Drosophila melanogaster: one gene and its partners. The protein of the gene in region 2 interacts with the protein of the main gene of each other region in a pairwise test. Each region holds a gene or a part of one and is shown on either strand. Other genes may lie near its edges.

Region 1 (5,483 bases), 3.3 Mb from region 2:
AAGAGTAACTTTTGTGGTTGCCCTCAGACCAAGTGGGTGGTTCAGTGGTTGAGTAGTGGGTAATACACGAAAGTTTCGGTTTTTTATGTCCGAACATAATTTGCAACGGAGCTTAAACAAGACGCGCATTTTATGTTTAACTTCCTTGTTCGCTATTTGTAGTCGACTTTGCGGCGTTTATGGGATGGAAAGTGGGCGGGGCACAAGTTCCGCACCCCCAAAAACAAAAAGCCATATAATTGAGCTCAAACATTAAGCGGCTTTTCGAGGTTTTGCTTGGCATATTGAAACCGAATCATTGCTTGATTGAATTACATATCGTGGGGTTAGTGGTGCAGAGAACAGAACTCCCTCGAATTTCTTGAAGTCTTCGTTTTCGGTTTCCACACGTTTCCGGTTCAAATTTAAATTAAACTTGTTAATTATTCCATCCGAAGAACAACCCACACAAGACAGGAACATGTGTTCACTACTCCACTTCCTTTCCTTGGGCGTCCCACATTTTGCGGGTTTCCTCGTTACCATTTGCGATCATGATAATGATCCGATGCGATCATTTTGATCCTTCCCCTTCGACGTGACGGGCATGCGTCAAACTCAAATACGTATGTAACTCGAGCCAACCTTCACTTTTATTTTCTAGTTTCCTACCATATTTATTCCTTTTTTTCGGTAGCAGATGTCGCCTAACATCATGTCTAATGAAATGCTTCAGTAGCTCCACAATGAAATAGGGAACCCTCATAGTTCGGGGCGTGAAAGTTGTTGACATGTGGGTAGGAATTCCGTGGGGTAATACCTTTGGAAGAACAGGGGAATCGACTTCTAATACATTTCTAGCACGTGTCGTCATGGCTTCTGTTCTAATAATTCAACCGACACAAGTTCAATATAAATATTAAACTATGTACATACATAGGTATACAATGAAAATATTGAAATATTGAAAAATATTTACCAAACACTTTAGTTAAATGGGTAGCCTAATTGTCTGAAGACATATCTCCTACATTAGTTGATTACTCATAAATCATAAGCGTAACATTTTTATAAAATAGAGCACATACTATATAGTAATTGAAAGTATAATACTGGGGGAGTGCCCTTTATTAAATAAACTGCAACAACGTATGTTTTTCTCATAACTGTGGATGAATCATTCTGTTGATTTGCGTATCGCTCAAAATAAATGCATTAAAATCTTCTTTATAGTTTTCATTGCGCAAAAGTTGATTGAAAGAATCATTATATTTTGTCTTTCTTACCAAATAAGTGAATTTTCTCAGGGGTAGGGATATGAAACCCTATGCGAAAAGGGGTGTTGGGTTGGAGGTAGCCAAGGGTAAGGGTTTGTGCTGTAATGACGCATCAGGACGTGGAATTTCCCTACATATGCCAGATGTTCCCATCGGCATAAACTGCGCTTCAACACTTGCCGCCAGTTGATAAGCATTTGAAAACGAGTTTCAAAAACCGAAATCAAAACCTTTACTCAAACAAAAGTGCCATATCAACAAACTTCTTTCCCTTCCCCTTGCCAGCTTCCCTCTCTTTTTAAGAAAAATTAATAACAAAGAAATATAGGGAGATCGGCATCTACTTCTATTTGAAGCATGTACAACTCAGAAATTTTTAATAACTTTAAGTTTTATATTTATAAAGAGCTGTAGACTACGTAATACCTCTACTTTGGGTTTTGGGTGTTGACTTGAACAATTTATAACAATTTTACCCTATGTTCTCCTACATGTTCTATAAAGTATCTGATCTGATCATAATATCTGAGGTGTCTTGTTTCACTAACAATAAACGCTTTACCAAAACTACAATACCTTTTTCATAAAATCACCATCGAACATTTTGCACTTACTGTACAGGAAAACAAAGCCGCTACTTTTACTGCTGCTTTCCAGCCACCCCTATGATTTATAAATTTACAATGCCGGCTGCTTCCAGTTCCAGTGCACAGTGGTCCAGTTCGAACTAAATCATAAACATGAATTATGATCATGTCTAATAAGTTTAATTAAATTACTTATAAAATATTACAACAATTCGTTGTGTAGGTGTTTTCAATGCTAATCACTGTTGCTTGACATAATTTGTATACTATTATAAACTTACAAGTTATATCTTAAATTATGTTTTTTCTTTTTTTCAAGAGAGAAACATGTTCTCGCCGAAAACACGTTCCACTTCCAGTTCCCCGAATAAAAACAAATCCAAGAAAATTAACATTAACAGTTGCTGTTAAGACTCTGTTAACCGTTTCGAAGCCGCATGAATTGCATGACATCGAAACGGCGTCAGTCAGTTTTGTTCTGTTTTGGAAGCCGCACGCGTTTTCCCTCGCTCCGGTTGTGCTCGCTTTCGCATCGCACACACACACACACTCTCGCCGCACAGACGCGACCAAAAGAAAACAAAATCAAATTCGGCGCAAACAAGGAATAACTTTTTATATTCCTATTGTGCATCGTATGTTGTATTAAGTGCAAGAAATATATTTACACAAATCTAACAAAAACACCGCAACTACTTTTGTGCATTTTGTTTTGCTCTGTGCCGAAGGAGCGGAGAAAAGAAAAAACCGCAACAAATCAAAAAATCTGTGCGTTTGTTATACACACCTAAGTGTCCTGCAGGAAGGACATCGGGTTCATTTACGCCACCCGCTGTTTTCAAGGACCAACGGATTATTCCCAATTGCCACATTTCAACAAGTTCGAAAAAAGCAACACACATTTTACACAGTGTTTGCGAGAATTGAAAAAGGTAAGATTACAAATTCGTGTGAAGGACCTCGGGGATTTGTAGAAGAGGAAGAGCAGTTGAAAACAAATCGATGAATTGTAAATGAAGTCAAATTTGTCTGCCAACTTTAATAATTTAACAAGTGAATATGGACACTTCAAACTTGAAAGATTAAAATGTGATTATAATTGAATAAAACAATTTACATGCATATTTATTTAGTTTTATACAAATGTAAAGATTTTGGCCAAAAAGTTTATTGAAAAACGCTAATGCCGTAGCAATTGAAATCTGAGTTATTTGTGAAAAGTAGAAGATAAAAGATATAAGAGCTTAATTTGAAAACTTTTAAAATATGTCGGTATCCGATCTTGACGGCTCTAAATTAATTTATAATCCTCCACAATCCATAATTACCGAGGAAACATCTTACCAAAACAATTTAAATGGCGTCTCGAAAAACATTTCATTCCGAGCTCTTAATAAGATTAATGGGGCTTCACGATTCATTGATATAATCCCTCCGTAACGAAGCACACCCACCCCATCGTCATCATCATCTTACGCGTCTTGAGGTCTAATGGCTCGTGTCAATGATCAGACGGACTCTTTCCCTCAATAATTCCCATTTTCCATCCTTTCTAATGGCTTGTGTCGCGGCTCCGTATGAAAAACATAACCATTTGACATAAATCACGGCCCTGACAAATCCTTTTGAACATTTCATAAACATAATGTGTGTTAATCCTCAGATATTTCAATCCATCAACATCCAGAGTTTGGTGGATGGAGTTGCCCCAAAAATAGCGCGACCCCTTTGGTATCATTTGTATGCACAGTCAGACGCCGGCTTGAATAAATCCCCAAATAGTCATTCCGTAAACAAATGCAAAGGAAATTGTTGAAGGGATACGGATACCGGGAAAAAGGGCAATAATTCAATGATGAATTAATAGGCGCATGGAAATGATCACGAATTCCCGGGATCTTCAGAGAAAGTTCGAGTTGGCAGCTGCTGCTCTTCGATTCGCTCCAGAAAAAGAAAAAAAGACTTCCGGGGAATCGAGCAACTAAAAAGTGAGAAAAGCATCAACAAAGCCAAACAGAGGCACAACAAATGGGGTAGGAAAACGTGAAGATGCCACGCTGACGCAACATTTGCATTCGGAAAGAGATTTATGGAGGCAACTCCCCCGCCCATTGACTTTTCGCTCCAACTTCCCTCATTGTTTTGCCAAGTTTTCAAAAGACAAGAGCCGACATGATGATGTTGATGTGTGTGCCTCAGTATCTCATTTTCCCAATTTACCCCAAAATGTGTGTAATCAAAAGTTTTCGTCTTTACAATTCAATTTTAAATTGTTGTTCCTATGTAAGTGTTGCCTGCTTTCCACTCGAAAAGTAAACAACAATTAAGGAAAAACACAACAAGGCAAATGCAACAAGAATACAAAGCACGATTTTCAACACTTTTTCTCGCTCTCAATGATAAACAAAACTCGGCTATTTACATCTGGAGTTCATGGTCAAACAGTTTAAACAAAAATGGAGTTTTCATTTAGGAAATTGTAAATCCATCAGCAATAAGAACTTGAGAGTCAAGTGCTGCGATACGATCCCAAAACTCGAATCCCCTCAAGAGCTGCTGACAATTGACTAATGAGGGTTACAAGAAACCCCAGCGCAAATCATAAATATTTGTTGTTGACAATTCCAATGGCCCTGCAAGGAGCCTGGCTTCAAGGAATTCTCAGGGTTCTTATCGCGGAGGAAATCTTCGCTTATCTGCCTGAAAAAGGCAACGTGGTGCTAGAAAATATTGTGCAATAAAATGGAATGATATAGTGGAAGGACAGCCATGAGTTGTGAGGAAGGCAGTGTATGCAGACTTAACAGATACCCAGTACTTCCATTTAAGAAACAACTAATTGCATACATAATATTGGTTAAATGCACCAGGAACTTCGTGGTTCAATGCACTCAGTTAATGTTATAACATTCTCCAACAAATATTCTTGAATATAAGATATAAGATGTGTCTACCTCATCAAATCCAAGAGTACGCGGTATGCACAAACATTGAACCAACCAACGCAACTCAGGGCTATCCTATCCCATATCTTCAAGAGTTGTTTGCCCCTCGAGAGTAATTACAAATTCATAAAAATGGCCTGTTTGAAGTGGAAATCTCGTTCCGATTTTGTTTGCTCTTCCCACTCCAAACTCCATTTATTCCATTTTTGTTGTGCCAATCCCCTTGTCCTGGAACTAGGCGCCTTCCGCTGATCCTTTGAGGTTTGTGGGACTCTGTGCCCCTTTACCAGTTTCCGCTCTCTACCTGCCCCAGGAGATTGTTATCCATCAAAATAAAATGAGGGGAGACGACTGTGAATTCGCATCGCACGTGTATAAACCTTTGAGTCTTGCGGTTTCTGGTTTCTGCCCCTTTTGTACTGGAAATAAATTCAGTCTTATATTTCTTATGAATTATTATAGTATGTCCTCAAGTAGTTCTTAACAAACAAGTTTGTATATTTTTAAAGGTTTTCAACATTTGTTGCAACTTGCGATCTATCTTACCTATGTTTCTTCTTTATTTTTTCTAAGTGTTTCTCATGCTCCAGTGAACTTCACTCCCCCTTCATCTTTCCGACCCCTTCCGCATTGTTCTTTGAACACGTGTCAGCTTTGATCATTAATCACCCTTCTTTTGATTGCCTGGCGAATAT
Region 2 (4,184 bases):
TGGGCAATAAAGTGGGCGCCCTCCGATGGACACTCAATGTCGGCGAGACGTGGCGGAGCTCGGGCAAAGGGCAGGATATTCCGTTGAAGGCTCTCCACCTGAATGAAATGAATAGGTTTTTATGTGGCTCCCAGAAAACTTCAGATAAAAAAAAACACGCACCGTGCAGTTGACTTTCGAGGGGAAATCGCAGCTCTGAGTGCTTGGATTGTACTGCAGGCCACTTGTGCAGTTCTGGACTTGAGGAAGACCATCCATGCAAATGTAGTACTTGTCACAGCGAGCCTTGCTGGGTATGAAAACGATGTCATCCGGATTATTATTCCGGCTGCACAGATTGTCCACGCAGTCGACATACTGCGGATAGTCACAGCGATCGGTCAGGGCGTTGTACTGCAGTCCATCGGAGCACTGACGGATCACCGGAGTGCCGTCGAAGCAGAGAACGTACTTGGTGCACGTGCGATCGTAACAGAACGATGACAAACCACGGTTCTTACAGGATCCAATACACTCGACCTCCATCAGGGGAACACACTCCTGATCCCTCGCATCGAAGTAGTAGTCCGTGGGGCATTCACGGGGTACAGCTATCTCATCTGGGATAGAAACATGATAATGCGGTGAACTAGATATCCACAGGTGCTGGTGACTTACTCATGCACAGGAAGTACTTGCTACAGTTGCCCACCTGGGGAACAAAGAGATTGTTGACCACATTGGAGCAGACATTGACATCGCCATCAGCAGCGCTACAGCTTCCAAGCAGGGCAACCAGTGCCAAAAGGGTCAGGCGACTTATCACTTTGGAAAATAAACCAAGTTAGATCATTTCGGTTCCATAGCTGCAATTCATACTCACTATTCAAGGTTGGTTTCCTGCGGTTACTATCGTCTTACCTCGAAAAACCCCTCCATTTATAGGCAAACTCACTTGCCATTCAATCTGCGATTTGTTTTGATTCCGTGCAAATTTCCAATCTTATCGGATGTGGATGCATGTTTCCATGTGGTAATTGGATTGTTCTTCCTCATTCAAATTCGTCTGGCGGAGATAAGTTCGGTGAACAAGAGCCAATATTCAGGAACATACACCTCTGTCAGCCATTAGGAAACACGTGTATTGATGAGTCACAGTTGATCATCGAACCACGGATCGCTCAAGATCCGATGTAATTGTTACAAGTGTTTGGAATATTTGGATAGGAAGCCCCATTACTTTGAAGATCTAGAAATTATTAAGTTGTAGTTTAGGTTTAAGATTTTCTTCAAGATATATGTATGTATATTTGTTGTACAGGAAGGAAATGCTCCTAGTTAATCCAAATAGAATGTATTATTCTATAAAATTATTTTTTATTTTATTTATTTTTCTTTTCATATCTTAATCGCTAGCGCAGTAATACTTTGAATGTTTAAACCACTCGTGCACTAAAGTGATAAAAAAAAAAACCACACGTGCAAGGAAATTAAAACACTTTTCATCGATATCCACGGGTTCTGGGAACCAGTCTATTTAAAACATTTCGACTATGACTATTATCGCCAAGTTTGGTGGTGACAAATTGAAAGTCGAAATGTTTGCAGAAATAATGGCGTAGTTTTCCTCTAGAGGAGTCGTGTGCCGAAATAACCTGGTTGATAAGTGTAAATTGGCAAAAACTCATTAGGCGATGAAAGAGAGTCGATATAAAATGAATATTTCCTGGCCTGATAGCAAACAGTTGTGGCACACAGTTCAAACTATCCAGGAGTAAGTTGCTCATGCGATGGGATTCCCTATAGTTCATTTACCTAATAAATCGTAATTTCCCAAGTGAAGTGGCTATTAAATGGGCTCCTACTACTATTCATCATTTTGATGGTTCATCGGAACCGGGCCGATGAAGATCTTGTAGTAGCTCCCGGTCCAGACGACGATGGTGAGGGCCTAAATGTTCAGGATAAGGATATTTACGATATGTACGAAAACACCCAGATAAATGTCTGCGGCAATGTGGCGGATGGCGTTTATTTGCCCTATGTTGGAAATTGCTCCAAATATATCGAGTGTGAAAGTGAGTTATATACACTAAAACATCACATAAGTTTTTAAAGCAAATGAAAAATATTTTTAATACATTAAACTATCCATGTATTTAAGACAATACTATTAAGGAAGTAGGCAGCTGCTTGGATTTGGCAAAGGATAATCCAGATATTTGCGATCCGAACAAGTCGTGTGAGCTGGGCTACGATCCTGTTCTCCAAGTGTGCACCTACATGGAGGAGGTACAGTGTCTGCCCACCTGTGAGTCGTTCCGATTGAGCAGCTTCTGCTACGACAACACCTGTACCAAGTACGTGCTTTGCTATTACGGCAAACCCGTGCTACGCCAATGCCACGATGGACTCCAGTACAACAACGCCACGGATCGCTGTGACTTCCCCGAGTATGTGGACTGTGTGGCCAACGACTGTTCCGCCACCTTCCAGCCAGAGGACATCATCTACCTGGGTAGTAAGGCATCATGCAGCAAGTATTACGTCTGTTCCAATGGTCATCCGTGGGAACAGCAGTGTGCTCCTGGCTTGGCCTACAATCCCAGCTGCAAGTGCTGCGACTTTGCCAAGAATGTTAACTGCACGGTGAGTAGAAAAAGTGAAAGTGGATTTTTTTCATTTCAAATATATATTTTTAAATTGATTGTTTTGGATTGGTTTAAAGTACATTTTATACTGCTTCTGGAGTAATTTAATAATTTATTTATTTATACCTAAATATCTCTAGATTGATGCTGTAGCCAGGAATATTCTGCCATATTCCCGAACCCCTCTGCGTCGTGCTGACATTAAGTGTCCCCTTATGGGAACTCACTTCTTCCCACACAAATCTCGCCGAGATGCATATTATTACTGCGTCGAAGGACGTGGAGTCACACTAGACTGCACTCCGGGTCTTTACTACGATCCCAAAGTGGAGGATTGCCGCAGACCTGAATTCGTTGGTGTCTAACTGAGTTTTCATAAATAAATAATTACAACCTGTTGCTTTTGATTTTCGATTTTATGAAATGATAAGAGATTTTGTGAATGTAAGAAGTGATACAAATTGTTTATTCTGAAATGTTTTTTAAAAGAGCACATAACATTTTTAGTGTCGTTATTTTAAAGATTTATTAAAGGGACCAATCATTTGGTGTAAGACTCTCTTATCATCCCAAGAAAGTTCCACTAGTAAGAAATGGAAAAAAATAAATTCAATTAATTTACCAATAAAATGTTTGCTACAAAACGTTACAATTTGAATTGGATGGCCCGTTCACAATGGTGTTTTGTAAACGGCGCATGTGCTGTGCAGCCACAGTGTTTATTTTCCAAAAAAGAGAGAAAGAGTGCTCCACAGAGCACCCCATTCATGCTCTTCTGGTTGCAAACGCCAACCACCCGCTCGCCCACCGAGTGGCACGGCCACATATACAGAAAGCAAAAACAAAACGCTGTCTGTTGGCAAAAAGGAAAAAGAGGAAAACCATCCGTGGGGGCGGTGGGAAGTGAAAGAGCGCTCTGCGAAACTCATGAAAGTGAAAACGAGCGCGACGCTGGCCCAGCTGCATTCACACATTCAGTTGGCTGCGAGTCCTTGCGCCGTTCGAATCGCAGGCGAATCACCCATCGTCCAACACACAACCTCACAACCACCCACCACCCACCGCCCACCTGCGTCTCGGGCCGCAAGGTTGGCAAAATACAATTATTCGAGCGCGAGTCAGCGGTGGCTGATTTTTTGAATTGAATCGAATTGAATTAAAGTGAATACAAAGTTCGCATGAGTCGCATGAGTCCTTCGTGTGACGAGCTCTTCGCAAAAAGGATATTTATTTGCCAAGCCAGCCTGCGTGTGTGTGTGTGTGTCATTTGTGTGTTTGTCGTGTCGGGTCAGTTGAGCGTTCAAGGACTCTGCTGCAGCAACTACAAAATAGCTTGAAAAACCAGTGCCAGAAACAACAATATGTGTGCAATAAATGCGAGAAACGTGACATCAACGTGCCAATAGGCAAAAGGCATTGAAAAGCTGAAAGGAACACCACGTTTCGGTGCGAACGAGAATCCGAGAAAATATTGCAGGTAAAAAGCTGAGTGAGTGATGCACTTGAAAACAACCCACATCTGCACATTCGCAGACAGAATCGCATGCAGTCAGC
Region 3 (5,365 bases), on a different chromosome or scaffold from region 2:
TGGCAGCAAAGTAATCCCCATTGAGCTGCTGACCAGCTCCAGTTCTTGAAGAATTCTTCAGAATGCCAACAGGTGCTGCCTTCAGCTGCTGTTGCTGCTGCAGTAGAAATTGCTTGTGTTGCTGCTGCACTTGATACTGCTGTTGTTGCCACTGCAAAGGACTAACTGCACCCGGATAGTTGAACAAATTTCCTTGATTCAACTGAAGATGTTGCTGCTGCGACGCGGATGCAACTCCCACTGCTGGAACACCACCGTAGCCTTGATTTTGACAAGCAGCTAAGATGCAACCGGGTGTCAGCAGAGCTGCCTTAGAAACACTTCGACTTGGATAGGATCCATTGCTGGCGTTTTGATAGCCCCTTTGAAATTGCATTTGAGGATGCTGCTGCAGTCCGTAGTTTGGTATGAAGCTCTGAATCGAAGCGCTTTTTCGCTGGGATTTCATTAGCTGCCCTCGCAAACGACTCAATTTCCGGCTACTGACTTCCGGCGGAGCTAAAACCGCCATTCGCGGCATGGCGCCACCAAATTTGTTGCACACGGAATGCCAATATTCTGGCATAGCGGCAACTAATGGAGCTCGGGCGAATTGCTGCTGCTGCCACAGCTGCTGATAGGCATTCATCGAAGCCTGCTTGGCCGAATTAGTCAGTACCCTTCTCCGAACCATGCTGGATTTAATGGATTCTTATTGATTCGCTTGAGGTTTTGTTCTTCAACTGCTGACTCTGAAAGTTTCTGCTGGCTTGCTTTGCCGTTGAATAGTTTTTTTTTCTGGTTTAATTGGGGCTTGTGGGTTCATTGAAAATTTTGGATGCACTTTTGGTGCCATATCTGTTATTGGAAAAACCCTGACAATTGGTAAACGGCCTGCTATGAAATGTTTGTTTATAAGGCTATAGAACTGCAATATTTTGTTCATTCTTGTGATAAACAACATATTTTTATCAAAAAAAAAAAAAAAATTTATTTGTCCATTCAAGTAATATAAAACTTTCAATCTTAAATGTATTTTCAAAATATGGTTTTCAAATTAATTTAAATCGTTTAAATTCTGTCTTATATATATTCCTTAGTTTCTCGCAGTGGTGCACAAACTTTGAAATGACGTCACGCGACTCCTGGTGCGTAACTCATTTGGTCCTCTCGCTCATTCTTACTCTCTCTCTCTCTCCACCTACGCAATTTCCGTTTTAGTGGTGTAGTGAAATTCCCGGCTCCATTTTCATTCAGGTGGCTGCTGGTGGAAAGTTGAATCAACGGCCAGCTGGAAGGCATTCATTCATGGACGGGGTCCTTCCAAGATGCCACTTGGTTTCGTGCGTATTCCAAGCTGCGCAGGAAGTAGAAATTTCCGTTACAAAAGCAAGCGTCGAAAAGGACTTTCATGAACAGACAATCAAATAAACTCATTTCATTTACAAGTTTCAAGTGAACATAATCCAGTTTTCAGATTGTTCTATATTTTCCATAGATTTTTTAAGTTTTATTTCTCAAGAAAAATGGTCTCCTTTGGCGGTGTGGCAAAACTATTGAGCAGCTTCGAGTGCTGTGCCAGTTCGTGGGTCAAAGCCGTAAATCCCGGATGGTACGAGGCTCGTGAGATTCCGAAGACCATCCTGATCCAGAAAGTGCGACAGGTGCCCCAGAATACCAGGGTGATACGCCAGAGACCCCAAACCGCGGAGCCGCCCAAAAAATCCTCCAGCCAAAAGCGCCAACTTTATCTCTAAGCTCCAAAAAGTTGGGGAAATAATGACTCATTGGTTAGTATTTTACTAAAGCAATTGCTCTGATTCTTACCATATACTCTTTGATGGACGCCTGAAAGTATGCAGAGAAATCCAACCTTTTGTTAAGACTTTAAGCCTTGTAAATTGATGCAGAGAGGACTTCAAAATCTTACAAGCTATTAACTTTTATTTTATTACTATAAATTTAATGTTTTGTTTCTTTGTTTGCTTCCAGGCTAAACATTGTTTATATATTTTCAACAAGTCTAAAGCACACATATAATTTTCATTTACAGATTTAAGTGTTTTAATCGAATGTACATTGTATTGGTAAATATGTAACGAATTTAAATCTGCATTTAGTGTTGGCTAATATCCGCTTTCTTCCACAGAGTTGTCTCGCAGTCGTCATCGATTTCGTCATTTTGTCTGCTTCGCTACACGGCCACACTGAGTCGGTGCCGAGTTTTTGCTTCGCGAGCAGGTGGTGTTGTCCAATCAGAATCGCCGTAGACGGCACGAATAACAGAAAAAAATTCCAATAGAACAGCCGAGGGCGATTATTTATGTGTGTTCATGTTAAATGTTAAATGCAAAATTACGCGTCGCACGCTGCGCCCACGCGATTTCGAATCCGCATCCGATTGTTCAGTGCAAACACACACACACCAACCAAGTGAATATAATATGTAAGCGAAAGGCAAGAAGCCAGCAACAAAGCGCCAGTGATAAGCGCAATAATATAAATGCAATATAGTATAAATTCAACGTGAAAAGAAATCTCGCCAGCGAAATACAAAAAAAAGCGGAGGAAGCGACAAATGGAAATCAAGTAAAATGAAGAAGAGCGGAGAGATAGAAATCGTAATGTGTAAGCGCGACCAGAGCGTATGAAAAAATCGAAAAAAAAAAACGGTGGAGCGAAGATTAAATAAATTTACAAGTGTGTTTTGTATTTGACCAGCTTTTGTGAGTGTTGTTATTGTTGTTTTTGCGGAGGCTGAAAGAAAAGCGGAATAACAACAACACAGCAGCAGCAGCGCTGTTGCATGTGTGTGTGTGGTGAGCAACTATTTCCAGTGATGAGCGCGTGACACGATATGCGCTTCCACCAGTTCACAGCATAGAGTGCAATAAAAGAGCTCGTGACCCACGCGGCCATCTCGAATGGCCACCGAGATGCGGAAGCTAAAAACATATTCATGAATGGCAATTATGTGACGTGCGCTGCGGCAAGTTTTACCTTCGATTCCGAGCCGTGGAAAAAGGAAAACAAAAAAAATGCGCGTACGATTTTCCACTTTGGAAGTCGTGACGTTTTCCCATACATAACGGTGTGAGCGTGTACGAGTGTGTGTGTGGTTGTATGTTTGCGGTGGGGGCTCTCTGTCTCTCTCACTCGTTCGCTTTTATACGCATGTGTGTGTGTGCGTGCGTACGTCATTGCAACTCCGGTAAAACGCAAATAAGGGGCAGCGAAAAGCCAATTGCCGTTGAGTGGTCTAATTGGACACCTTGCGTATGCATTGTTTGTACTATTTACCATTTGGCGACCCGTTATCAATTGCAGGTGCTTTCTCCTGTAAACAGTGTGTGGTGTGTGTGAGTGCGTGCGACCTCGACAAGTTCTTTTTCATTCTTTTGTCGTCACACATATGCAATTGCACGGGAATAAAAGAAGTGTAGTGATCTTGAATAAAATCTTGTTTCATTAACTACAACACTGAAAGTCGAAATGGACATTCCTAAAATGAATTGATAGCTATTTTTGTATGGATTGAGCAAAAGCGAAAAGCCCAAATTCGTTTTGCTCAATCTTTACTGTTTTTTTAAAATTACTACTGAGAAGCAAAGAGTACGTTCTCATTATGTTTTGAATTTTAAATGAGTTTTGAGATTTTTTTTATCTCTAAAGCAAATATGTCACTGCGAATTAACCCAAGAAACCTTAAAAATGTTTTTATAAATGTTTTAAAATATATTTAAAAATCTGTAAAAATAACGTTCAATAGTATTTCTTTCAGTTTAGTTGGCTATTTCTTGGAGTTACAAAAATTATTTTGAAATTCATAGCACAGATCACATTTTCTCTTTGTGTATGCCCCAGTAATTGTAATTTTCATACGGGTTGCGGTAGTTTTCCTGTAAAATTCCTTGACTCCTTGGAGTCCCAAGCCCCCAAACACATACACAAGCTGTTGCTGCGCCCCCGCTCACGCACACATGCAAATGGGCGCCCTGCTGATAGTGCCTTCTCCCTCTTAGCTTTGTCAGTCGATGGAGAACCCACGATTGTCTCTCTTCTCGCATATTTGCTTTGCTCCGTCGCCCTATCCCTTTTTCTCTGCCCACTACCCACCGTTCGCCACCCCCACTCCCACTCGCCCCCTCTCTTTCCGTCTGCTTTTCTGTCTGGCTTTGGATGCTGTGTAAGTCCAAGTTCTCTAGTTGTTGTTGCTGCTGCTTTTGGTTTTTCGGCTCTCTTTTGCTTTCGGCTTGTTGCCTCATTTATTTTACTTGTCGTTTCTTTTTTGCCTTTCGCTTGCTGTTGTTTTTATTTTTTTAATCATTTTTGTCTCTCCGATTTGGTAAAAAAGAGTCAAAACAACTGCTAGTTATCAGCAAAATTGGCCAGATACGTTGAATACCCAACTCTTGCTTCAAAAGCAGTTTTAAAAGCGTTTTTTTCAAGTAGTAGGCACTTTTATGCTACTAAATGTTAAGGTTCTCTATGTTTATTTAAGGATATATTTACTGTAGCAGTTTAAAATCGGATAGTTCAAAGATTTACATATGTATAGGTTCAAATCACACTTTGCTTCAAATCAGTCTTTTGTATAATTCAATACTTTTTAACTTCCATTCAGCGAATTAAAGCTAGACTTTAATAATGATTCAATAAATTATTTAAATTATTTATAGTTTAAAAAAAATAATGAATAGAGTAACTCCTCTTTGAGTACACCGTGCGATACATATATAGTGGATTTTTAGCACCTTTGACCCGGTGACGTCTTTTACATCCCCACCACATAGTGCTGCGTGCTCTGTTTCCCTCTTACAGTCGCTCCCTCTCGCTCTGCGCTGGAAGTGTGTGTGGCTGGCTGGAAGCGAGGTCGCAGCCTCCCCGGCTTCAGTTAGCCGGAGAAGTATCTTCCAGGTTGGAAGTTCATTCAGTTTTGACTTTTGACTCCGTCCGCTTCGTACTTCGCGTGGTTCGGTCTGCGGTATGCCATTCGCTTGCTAATTCCACAAAAATTCTACAACTGTTTTGTGTCTTTCCACTGATAAATGCAAATAAACAATAGGAAAGCGTACGCGAAAACCTTTCAGAAATGTGAGAAAATCGGTGGATGTGAGAGGAAGCGAGAGGGTGAGGTGTCCAGCTGCCGCGGCTCTTTTCACACCCGCGAAATATCACGAGAAAGTTTTGGGGGAAAACAATTTGTTTGGATTATGCGAGTGTGTGGCGAGTGTTGGTTGGGTTAATGTTTGATCGTCGTCGTCGCCGCCTGCTTCCTCTTCTTCGCACACACTCTGGTCTAAATTGATTTCAATGAGCTTTTTGACGACTACCCCTCTCTGTTCCCCACCGCTATCACCGTCCCTTTCGCTTCACGATTATGTGC

Evidence for each region. Proteins that work in one complex are often made in the same cells at the same time.
Region 1: the proteins of CG10154 (region 2) and Nrt interact in a two-hybrid assay, tested with the Drosophila melanogaster proteins (one large-scale study listed by BioGRID).
Region 3: the proteins of CG10154 (region 2) and Sik3 interact in a two-hybrid assay, tested with the Drosophila melanogaster proteins (one large-scale study listed by BioGRID).

What each region holds. Positions count from the first base shown.
Region 1 is NT_037436.4:16,763,766-16,769,248, forward strand, and holds the start of Nrt (neurotactin), read left to right. Parts: upstream 1-2,306; 5' UTR 2,307-2,775; intron 2,776-5,483. UniProt on the Drosophila melanogaster protein: May mediate or modulate cell adhesion between embryonic cells during development.
Region 2 is NT_037436.4:13,434,665-13,438,848, reverse strand, and holds CG10154 (uncharacterized protein), read left to right. Parts: upstream 1-1,712; 5' UTR 1,713-1,752; coding exon 1,753-1,753; intron 1,754-1,817; coding exon 1,818-2,057; intron 2,058-2,143; coding exon 2,144-2,628; intron 2,629-2,770; coding exon 2,771-2,995; 3' UTR 2,996-3,169; downstream 3,170-4,184. Other genes in the region: CG10725 (uncharacterized protein), read right to left, coding at 1-98, 163-599, 658-804, 863-863.
Region 3 is NT_033778.4:18,685,944-18,691,308, forward strand, and holds the start of Sik3 (Salt-inducible kinase 3), read left to right. Parts: upstream 1-2,188; 5' UTR 2,189-2,607; exon of another isoform or gene 2,608-2,705; intron 2,706-5,365. Other genes in the region: CG44433 (uncharacterized protein), read right to left, coding at 1-673; CG42855 (uncharacterized protein), read left to right, coding at 1,506-1,736.